2 linked regions of the Tribolium castaneum genome follow. The protein of the gene in region 2 interacts with the protein of the main gene of each other region in a biochemical or structural test. Links are inferred from orthologs where the notes say so. Each region holds a gene or a part of one and is shown on either strand. Other genes may lie near its edges.

The links.
Region 1: the proteins of transcription elongation regulator 1 (region 2) and U2af50 form a complex in vitro, tested with the Homo sapiens proteins (2 studies listed by BioGRID). The link is inferred for Tribolium castaneum from reciprocal best matches to the Homo sapiens genes TCERG1 and U2AF2.

Annotation. Positions count from the first base shown.
Region 1 is NC_087399.1:6,083,021-6,087,775, reverse strand, and holds the start of U2af50 (splicing factor U2AF 50 kDa subunit), read right to left. Parts: upstream 2,949-4,755; 5' UTR 2,792-2,948; coding exon 2,776-2,791; intron 2,722-2,775; coding exon 2,583-2,721; intron 2,540-2,582; coding exon 2,130-2,539; intron 15-2,129; coding exon 1-14. Other genes in the region: low density lipoprotein receptor adapter protein 1, read left to right, coding at 4,739-4,755. UniProt on the Homo sapiens protein: Plays a role in pre-mRNA splicing and 3'-end processing. By recruiting PRPF19 and the PRP19C/Prp19 complex/NTC/Nineteen complex to the RNA polymerase II C-terminal domain (CTD), and thereby pre-mRNA, may couple transcription to splicing.
Region 2 is NC_087397.1:11,591,063-11,595,795, forward strand, and holds the start of transcription elongation regulator 1, read left to right. Parts: upstream 1-1,412; 5' UTR 1,413-1,525; coding exon 1,526-1,674; intron 1,675-1,720; coding exon 1,721-2,111; intron 2,112-3,832; coding exon 3,833-4,073; intron 4,074-4,121; coding exon 4,122-4,547; intron 4,548-4,601; coding exon 4,602-4,733. UniProt on the Homo sapiens protein: Transcription factor that binds RNA polymerase II and inhibits the elongation of transcripts from target promoters. Regulates transcription elongation in a TATA box-dependent manner.

The DNA.
Region 1 (4,755 bases), on a different chromosome or scaffold from region 2:
TTTCAAACTCTGACCTGAAGAAAAAAAATCAATCCAAACACTCACTATAAGTCCAGTCAAATAAGCCAAATAATAAATAAGTTATTTACAGTTCTTTAATAATATGTCCACATTTACAAAAAAATATAAATAAGACATTTGAAAATTTTGTTTTTAATTTTAAATGTCCCAATCTTTTATGTCCACCGCTAGATTTATACCAAATTTATACCAATTATTACAAAAATTATACCTTTATTACAAAAATTATTGTTAAAAAAATTAGAAAATTAATTTCAACTCACCATGACTTTATTAAAGTTGTACATACTTATCAGTTATCATGACTTTACGTTTAACCGCCCTAATTGTTAATTTTAATATTAAAGAAGTCAAAAGAACATTTATATCTCCGGAACTTATTTAAAAAGCCAAAAACGTGACGAAATAGAACTAATTACGAAACATTAATCCACTCCAAGCTATTTTTTGAGATGACATTAATTAATTTTTGTTTCCATTTTTATTAGCCCTCGAAATGTTTGTTTCAAAGGAAAATACGCTGCGATTTCACTTCGAACTTTTCAGTAATTGAAAACTGCAATAACTTGATGAGTGTTACAAATAACAAAATAATTCTTGAACTAAAAATGTATTTGAAGTGTTTTCATCTCGATTATGTAAGGGTTCGCGTTTTAAAATAAAAAAATTAAAACTTTCTCACATCTCAAAAATTTCACAGCACGTACATTTTTTCAGTTTTCTCTTATCAAAACCCAGCCTTGTGTAAGAACGTTATTTAGAAGGAAGATATGAGGATGTAAACGCACAATTTGTCCAGTTTTAGGTTTTTAATTTTTTTGCTAAACGGCCATTCCAAAAATAAAACCCTACACCGAAATTTTCAAAATAAATTTAGTAAAGTTTCTTTCAAAATACACAATTCGGTTAATACTTAATGTTGATGCTGTACTTTCTACTGATACTATTAAAAAAATTGAAAATAAAATCTTAAATTTTTTGCAGTGTCCAGTTAAAATATGTACACACAGTATTAATACAATTTGTCTTATTAATTATTATTACACTTAAATAAATAATTTAGAAAACACTGGTGTCTTTATTATTAAATTCTCCGTAAAAAAGTGGCTATCTTAATTTTTAGAATACGAAATTATGAATGTTTTGTCTGAAATTATTTACTCAAAAGCATAAAATGTGACAAAGTAGTAGCAAAAACCAATGGATCAAACAAACCTCGTTATTCCTACCTTGTAACAACTAGTTATCTCACAGATTATAACTTTTGTTGATGACATTTTATCCATAATCTTACACAATGATTATTGTTGCGGCATTTAATGTTATTCAGTTTGTTACTGGCTGTTGTCGTGAGTGAACGTCTCATATAAAATTTAACATACTTTGATATTGTTAAAGTCTTTAATAATTAAAACCTATGTGATTAAATTTTCTGTACTTATTTTCACACACAAGATTTTTTTTCTGCCGACAGTTATGTGTAAACAAAAAATTTCGTGGTTCGTGGTTTCAGTTTCAACAAGTTCCACCTTTTACTTCAAAAATAATTCTTGCAATTAGTGCCTTTAAATTAGCAGAATTTTATAACGATTGTTCATCAATAAAAATGTGAAATTTTTTTTGTCCCGTCCGTCATCGATTTGTATTTCTTTTCCTGTTCGTATTTAAAATTTTACAAATGTGACTGTAATTGTAGGTTGCAAACAGTTTGACTACTACTAGGTTCCGAAAAAAAAATCACGTCTACTGACCTTGTTCATAAAACTTAAAATAAAATCTAACAATTTGTGCAAAGTGCCCTAAATTCAAATTTAGCTGAAAAATCTACAGAACAATCAAGTGTTTTTGATGTTTTTTTTTTAAATTGTACATTAACATTTAAGCACCCAAAGCTCTGTTAATTTGAATAATATCAAAAAAAGTCGAGAGAACATTTTTGCGTAAAATTAAATGCTTTATAATTTTCATTTAATACATTTTTTTTTCTAACTCGTACCGAATTTGAGTAATCTTTAAAAAACACTTCTTTGACTACGTTTTGCAATACTTGTATCCCCTAGATTTTGATATAAAGACTTATTTGACCGGACTAATTACGCCAACCCCACCTTTGAAATTAATCCCATCAAAAGCCATCGCTTGCGTCGTCTCATCAATCGACCTAAACTCCAAAAAGGCGAAATTCTTGTCCAAATTAATCTGGCACGCCAGCACCGGATTCCCTGCAGCTTGCGCCAAGCCACTGAGATGCATTTGCTGGTTGAAGAACTCCATCATCTCCTCCTCAGTGACCCCGAAGGGGATATTCCCCACATACAGCCGCCTCGCCTGTCTCGTAATAGTCGACCCGACGACAGGCACAGCCGCTTGGGGCGTATCCGCCACGATGTTGGCCGGGATCTGCCCCGCGGCCTGCATGGCTTTGTACTGCAAGGGGGTGATGTGCTCGAACCCGGGCGGGGGCACGTCCCAGTACAGCGAGGGCTTGCGCCTCCGCGAGTGGCTCTTATGGCGACTCCTAAACCCCCAATTAATCCACGAAACCAAGGCGAAATACTCACGTTGAGCGGCTTTTCCGGCGGCGGTCCCGGGACCTGGAGCGCGACCTCCGGCGGTGCTCCCGGGAGCGGGAGCGCCGTCGGCGGTCCTTTTCGCGGTCCCCGCGCTCCCGGCTCCGCTCCCGCTCGTTGTTTTTACCGTCTAGAGGGGTTAGAATTGGGTGAAACTCGCCGGTTAAGTGGGGCCCGGACTCACCTTTTTCCTCCCCCATTGTGGAACAGTAGCACAATTAGGTCAAATTTTACAAAAATTAAGCACAATTTGGGTCAATTAACTCAAATGTTTGGTTTGTTTTTAACACAACTCACAAAACGTTCAAAATGGCGTCAATTAATGTCAAGGGGATTGTGGGTACCTGTCGGTAATGTCGCAAACTGTGTCGTTTGAATTACGATTAATTTAATTAATTATTTACAATTACGGTCTTGCTTAACTTGTTATTGTTAATTGTTTGTAAAAGTACGATTGTCGTGCGGCGGTAAAAATATTTTGCTTGATTGACGTAAACAGAGTCGGACTGTTTTTCGGAAAATTACCACAGGGCCGGCTTCAGCCGAACCAATCGATCTATTAATAAAACACGTTTTGTTAGATTAGTGTGTGCATACATTGTAAACAAACCGAAAAACATATTTTGTAACAATAAGACTAAAAACACTTTCAAAGCGGCGATAAATTAATACAAACAATTTGTATTATCAGTATCACTAAAAATGTCGGTGAACTTTTGCTTTGTTACCAAGCTGGTGGCAATTAATACTTAATAATAATAATAAACTTTATTAAATATAATGATACATTTACAAAAGGGAACAGTTCGCAGATGCTATCTTCCATTGGCCCTTTCATTTTTGCACAAAATTTGATAATAATCACACATCATTAGAGATGTGACCAGTTTCAATTTTATTTATGAATCTAAATGCCTAAACTACTAAAAATACGAACTAGATTACAAATTTTGAAAAATTGGAATAATTAGGATTATATTCATGACGTCACTTGATAGAACACATGATAATTGTTAGTGAAAAACATATGACTATCCATTAAACAGTCATTAGTCTGACAACTACTGTCATGGTAAAATTATATGAAACAGCCTGTACATGCTCATCAAAGCACTATTAAATTACTAAATTTTTCCTAGTAAGTTTTTGGTTATATAAATTCAGTTGTTGATTATTTTCAATCAAAGATTGCCGTCTGACAGTTGTTTGCATTTAGATTTACACCGTGTTTTTTGTATATAGCTTTATAGTTTTGTCATAATTGAATGGAAATGTCAGATACAAATGCATATCGTTAGCATACATGTGAATTTTACAGTTAGTTATATAATTAGTAAGATCAAAGGTATATAACGAAAACAGCATCGGACCCAATACACTGCCCTGTGGTACCCCCCGTTTTAATACAGGGTGATTCAAAACTACCATACAATCTCTCGAGTGTTGAGAAAAGACTGAATTAAAAGTTCCTATGGCAAAAAAATGTTTAAGCTTTTTTTCACGAGATATAGCTCCTCGAAGTTAATTTTTTATGTTAATTTTTTGGTGCTTCAGATCATATTTTTTTTTAAACAAATAGCTGTTGAAAAAAATAACAATTAATATCTTTATGATGTCCAAAACAATGAAAAACTTGTAAATTCGACAATAAATTAAATTCGACATCCTAAGAAACAACAAATATATATAAGAAAGTTACTTGAAAAAAATCTGACTTTATTTAATAGCTTAATAGAAGTCTTGTGCATTACTATGTATAGACTGGACTGCTTTTATGGTAACTTCATTATTTATTACTGAAAATTTGAAAATGCAAGCGCACTGCCCACTAGATGAATGTCACGCTTATAGATAATTGAAAATCGCTAAAAAATATTAAGTGGTACCAGGTTCCATGAAACGTGTCCGATAATTCCGTATAATAAGACAAACAGCGATAAGAGCTGAGACGAAGAATTATTTTGAAAAAATTCAGATTAAGTAATTTCGCGGAAAGTGGGTACACCACATATAAAGATCATATCTTGCCATGAAGAGATTCATGGCTTGCTTGATAGCCGGCCGACATTCACCGATCAGCTTGTGATTCGTAAAGACGCGGATTTGAACGCGCTTTTATATTATTTTTCAATAAGTGAGTCTGTGAAATGGCTTTCCTGAAAAG
Region 2 (4,733 bases):
ATTTTACTTCGTAATTTTTATAGTAATCAAGTAGACCTTGCAAATTCGTCAACAATTGTCAACTTGAACATTTTATTTAATTTTTTGACTGATTTATTAATTATCTAATAAGCAGTAAAATATTAATATTTAATTATGGTTTATTATCATAATTTATGTAAAGTAACTCATTCAGTCTGCCATCGAATTTTGAACTTCTTGAATGAAAACGGTGATCAAATAGAATTTTTTTTTAATTAATAGCACAATTTTATCATATTTTTCGAAAGTTTAGTTGATTAAAAATGAAAATAATTAGGTAAAATTCAATTTCTTGCGATTATTCCAAAATCTGTAAGAGATAGATATACAGGGTGCTCAAAAACTGGCGCACCAACTCAGTGGTACGTTATTGAGAAGCAAGTGCAGATTACGGGAAAAATGTTGAAAAAATTCCTAAAGTCGTATTTTAAAAAATCTGAAGCTACAAACCTATTGTGTTAACTTCTTTAGTTTTCATTATTTTTTTATATTATTATGTTTCATACCAGGTAATCGTTCCGTAACAAAACGATGAACAATTATTTTAAAATTTACTATCAGATTTTAGCAGTTTTTTAAATTTAAAAAAACTAAAATTCATCCAAAAAATCACAATGTGTAGATGTGCCAATACTGGGAATTATTTCCTAGGAAACCGTTTCAAAAATAATTTATTTTTATTGTTGCTCAAATTCTATTGCGATCATGACTATTAGACAACGTTGCCACATATCATTTACCTAAAATTAGTTATTTATCAATAACTTTAATACAAAGAATTTTTTTACTATTTTTACCTTTATATGTAACCACTTCTCTGCCACACACCATTGAGTTGGTGCGTCAGTTTTTGAGCACGCTGTAGAAGACTGTTTTATAATCATTTTTTAAATTATTTATGCACTTCAAAAAATTGATAGATAATGTAATTTATAGTTTCAATAAGAGATCTAATAATTTTATTTTACTGTTTTACTATTTTACAATTTTATCAATCTCATTTAAAAAAATAATTCGGTAAAAAATGCGACGTTGGCGTTTATAGTTTTGAAACAGCTAATACTAACAACTAGGGTATATTTTACTAATTCAAAAATGCAATAAAAATAGGTGGTTACTATTTGAAAATTTAAAGAATCAGCCTGTATGAAATGATCATTTGTGGTATTTCTTTGTTGGCGAAAATGTTTTATTTTTTTAAGGCGTTTAAATAAATTATGCGGAACAGTCGGTGGGCAGTGTTATGTTTTAAAATTTGTTGTTTTAATTATTGTTTTTAAAAGAAAATTTATGTAGAAATCATCCAAAAAATTCAAACCTAATTTCGCGCGACTTTTGGGGAAAATTTGTCGCTTGTGGTTGGTATCTGGGAATCAACAAACAAAAAACGCGCATGCGCATTAACGTCATAAACCGAAGAAGTGCATTTGTTGACGCCATTTTCCGAAAAATAAATCTTAATTGACTCTAAATGGCTAAATCGATTGAAATTAAATAAAACACAATGGAAGAAACAGACGTCTCCATGGAATACGACGGCGCCGACGTCGACGGCGTCGCCCAAGAGGAATACGAAGAGGACGGAGGCTTCGAAAACGACATTGAACTCGGAGATGACTTCCAAATGCGAGGCCGAGGACCTTCAGGGTTCAGGTATTCAAGTTTTAAACCGCCACACTTCCTAACGGTGTGATTACAGGGGCCGCGGACGCGCGTGGCCGGGTCCTCCAGGTCCGCCAGGACCGCGTGGAGAAGGTCCCCGGTTTCGAGGAAGGGGATTTGGGCCCGGTGGCCCTCCTCCGTTTCGTGGACGTGGAGGACCACCTCCTCCGATGTTTGGACGTGGGGGACCTCCCAGAAACCCACCACCAGGGCAGGGATTCAATGGACCTCCGAATTTTAATGGGCCTAACTGGGGAGGACCGATGGGGCCCCCGGGGACGATGGGTGGACCGCCCAATATGATGGGACCCAATGGACCGCCGTTCGGACCACCGGGCATGATGGGGGCGCCCCCGGGTGGACCCATGGGCGCTCAGGGCGGGACGACCAATGGGCAGTTTCCACCAGTAGGGCAAAATCCCACAACAGTAAGTTTTTTCGACGAGATTTTGCGAATTACCATCTTTTTGGAATTCGAATTTTTCAAGTTTATCTGTTCGAGTTATCAAATAATAAATACAGATAAGAATTTCACGTAGGGTTTCTATTGCCTACACTTTGTTTTTCTTGATTTAAAGTCTAGGTATTCCCGGGAAATATCGAATTATTACTAAATCTTAATCAAATAAAGAATTAAACTAGACTTTTCCAAACATTTTCAATAAAGATAAACACTTTCTTAAAATAGACCTGATATAACATTAAATTTTGCGGAAAACATGTCACCAAAAATAAAGTAGAATATAATTTATTTCGTAGTTTAACCCATCGAGAGTTCATCGGACGATCGGAGATTTGATTCTTCGGAATATCCTGATTATCCGTAGTTCATCTTTATGTAAAAATAACATAATTTTTGCTTTTTCCGTGTGCTGAAGCACGTTTGTTTGTCACTTCGATACATATTTTTTTCGAAAAATTGGCTGATCAACATTTCAAATCCAAACTGACATTATTTTGACTTGTATTACTCGATTAACACGTTTATGAACAAACCAAAAAAAAAAAAGGTAAAATAGGATTGAAACAATATATTATTATACGAGTTTTATAAGACGTTCTATTGCGGCACGAATGGTTTTGGAGCACGACGAAGCAGTGCTCCAATAGAATGAGTGTCACAATTAAGTCTTATAAAACGAGTGTAATATACTATTTTCTATTTTTGTTTGTTTCTGTTTAGTTTAACTTATCAAAATCTGTTCAAACTATTTTCTCTTAATTTTGTTAATTGTTCTTTTTCAATAAACGGCTTGACGTTGTTGATAGATCACACTAAATTACAGTGATGACTGATGACACCCAGCGCAGAACTGTCAATATAACTACAAATTTACTAAAAGGAGTTGTACAAAAGTTCTCTTTGTAAAACTAACAAGCGTTCATTTAAGAAGTGCTTTGAAAATAAAAAACAATTGATTACAAATGTTTGTGATTAATTCGTTCTTTTATAACTTTACTTTTTGGCAGTTAAAAAGATAACAGATTTTCATAAAGATATTTATTTATTATTTATAAAAACTTTTGGAAATGTTTTTTTTTGTTGTTTAACACACGTAACACATGGCCTTTGAACACTATTTATCACTCATAGGTTATGATGTTATGAATTTTGGTGAACTCGTGTAGTAGGAAATATCAGGCCATTCGGAGAGTTTTCTTAATAATGAACACATGATACTTTCAGTTTCACAATGAATAATTTGTGAAACCAAAGTAGAAAAAATTTTACCTTTCCAAACTTTTAAGACCTTTAAGCTGGTATTTGAATCAAAATCTCACCGTTTTTTTGCGAGATGTCATTAATACATACAGAAAAATCGCCAAATTACATTATTTTTGCCTTTTGGAGCGTTTTATCTTTTTTTAGCTATAAGCGGAATTACTTCGCAAGCCGAATAAGCACTAAATGGAACCAAAAATTGAGTTATTTTTTCACACTTTCAAATACATTTTTGAGTTACATATTTAGTTTTTTTCTTGTGAGTTTGCTGCACCGTGCTGAAAAATGACTAAATTAATTATTTTATTTAATTTTATAGCCTCGATATTATTTTTCCTCTTTCGTATGTTTTACCACTTTGTAAATAATAATTTATTATTTATCGAAGTTCGACTACAAGAATTCAATTGTAATTGTTTTTTGCAGGGGTTAGATGCAAATAGTGAAATTTGGGTAGAGACTAAAACCTCAGAAGGCAAGTCATATTTTTATAATGCTCGTACTAGAGAAACCACTTGGACTAAGCCAGAAGGTCCTAATGTAAAAGTAATCTCTCAGGATCAAGTGGAAGCAATGGCACAAGCGGCCACCACAGGTTTAGCCCAAGGAACGTCAACTGCAGCTCAGGCGGCGTTAGCGCAGGCTAACGTTTCAAATAAACCTGAAGGTACCTCTAATCCAATTTCTATCCCAAAAAAATTAACGAGAAATTTAGTTGAGTCAGAGGAATCGAAAGGCGATGCCAAACAAGCTGGGAACGCAATGCCTCAAAACATGTTAGCGGGTCCTCCGCCAGGTATGCCCCCATTTGGGGGTCCCCCAGGTCAGTTTGGAGCGCCTCCATTCGGCTTACCACCGCCAGGATTCCAAGGGACATGGCCGGCTCCAGGTCAAGCAGCATGGGCAGGGGGGCCACCAGGGGCTGCTCCGTGGGGTATGCCGCCAGGTCTTCTTACAGGTTTACCAGGAGCTATCCCAGCGATTGACGAAGCAGCGGTTTTGGCTAAAGTCGATCCGGAAATCATCGCCAAAGCGTCCGAATGGAGCGAACACAAAGCACCCGACGGACGCTTCTATTATTACAACGCCAAGAAAGGGGAATCGGTTTGGGAAAAACCGCAAGCTCTCAAGGATTTGGAAAGTAGGTTTTTTGCAACAAATAAAATAGTTTGTTTATTAATTATTTTTTGCAAAGCTGCGAAACTGGCTGCAGCTCAAGGGATTTCAACAAGACCGGGAACCGAAGTTATAGCTGCTGTTGAGACAGGTAAGCCAAACGCTGCAGTTGTCCAAGTGGCCAATGGGGACGCAGTGAAAGACATTGTCA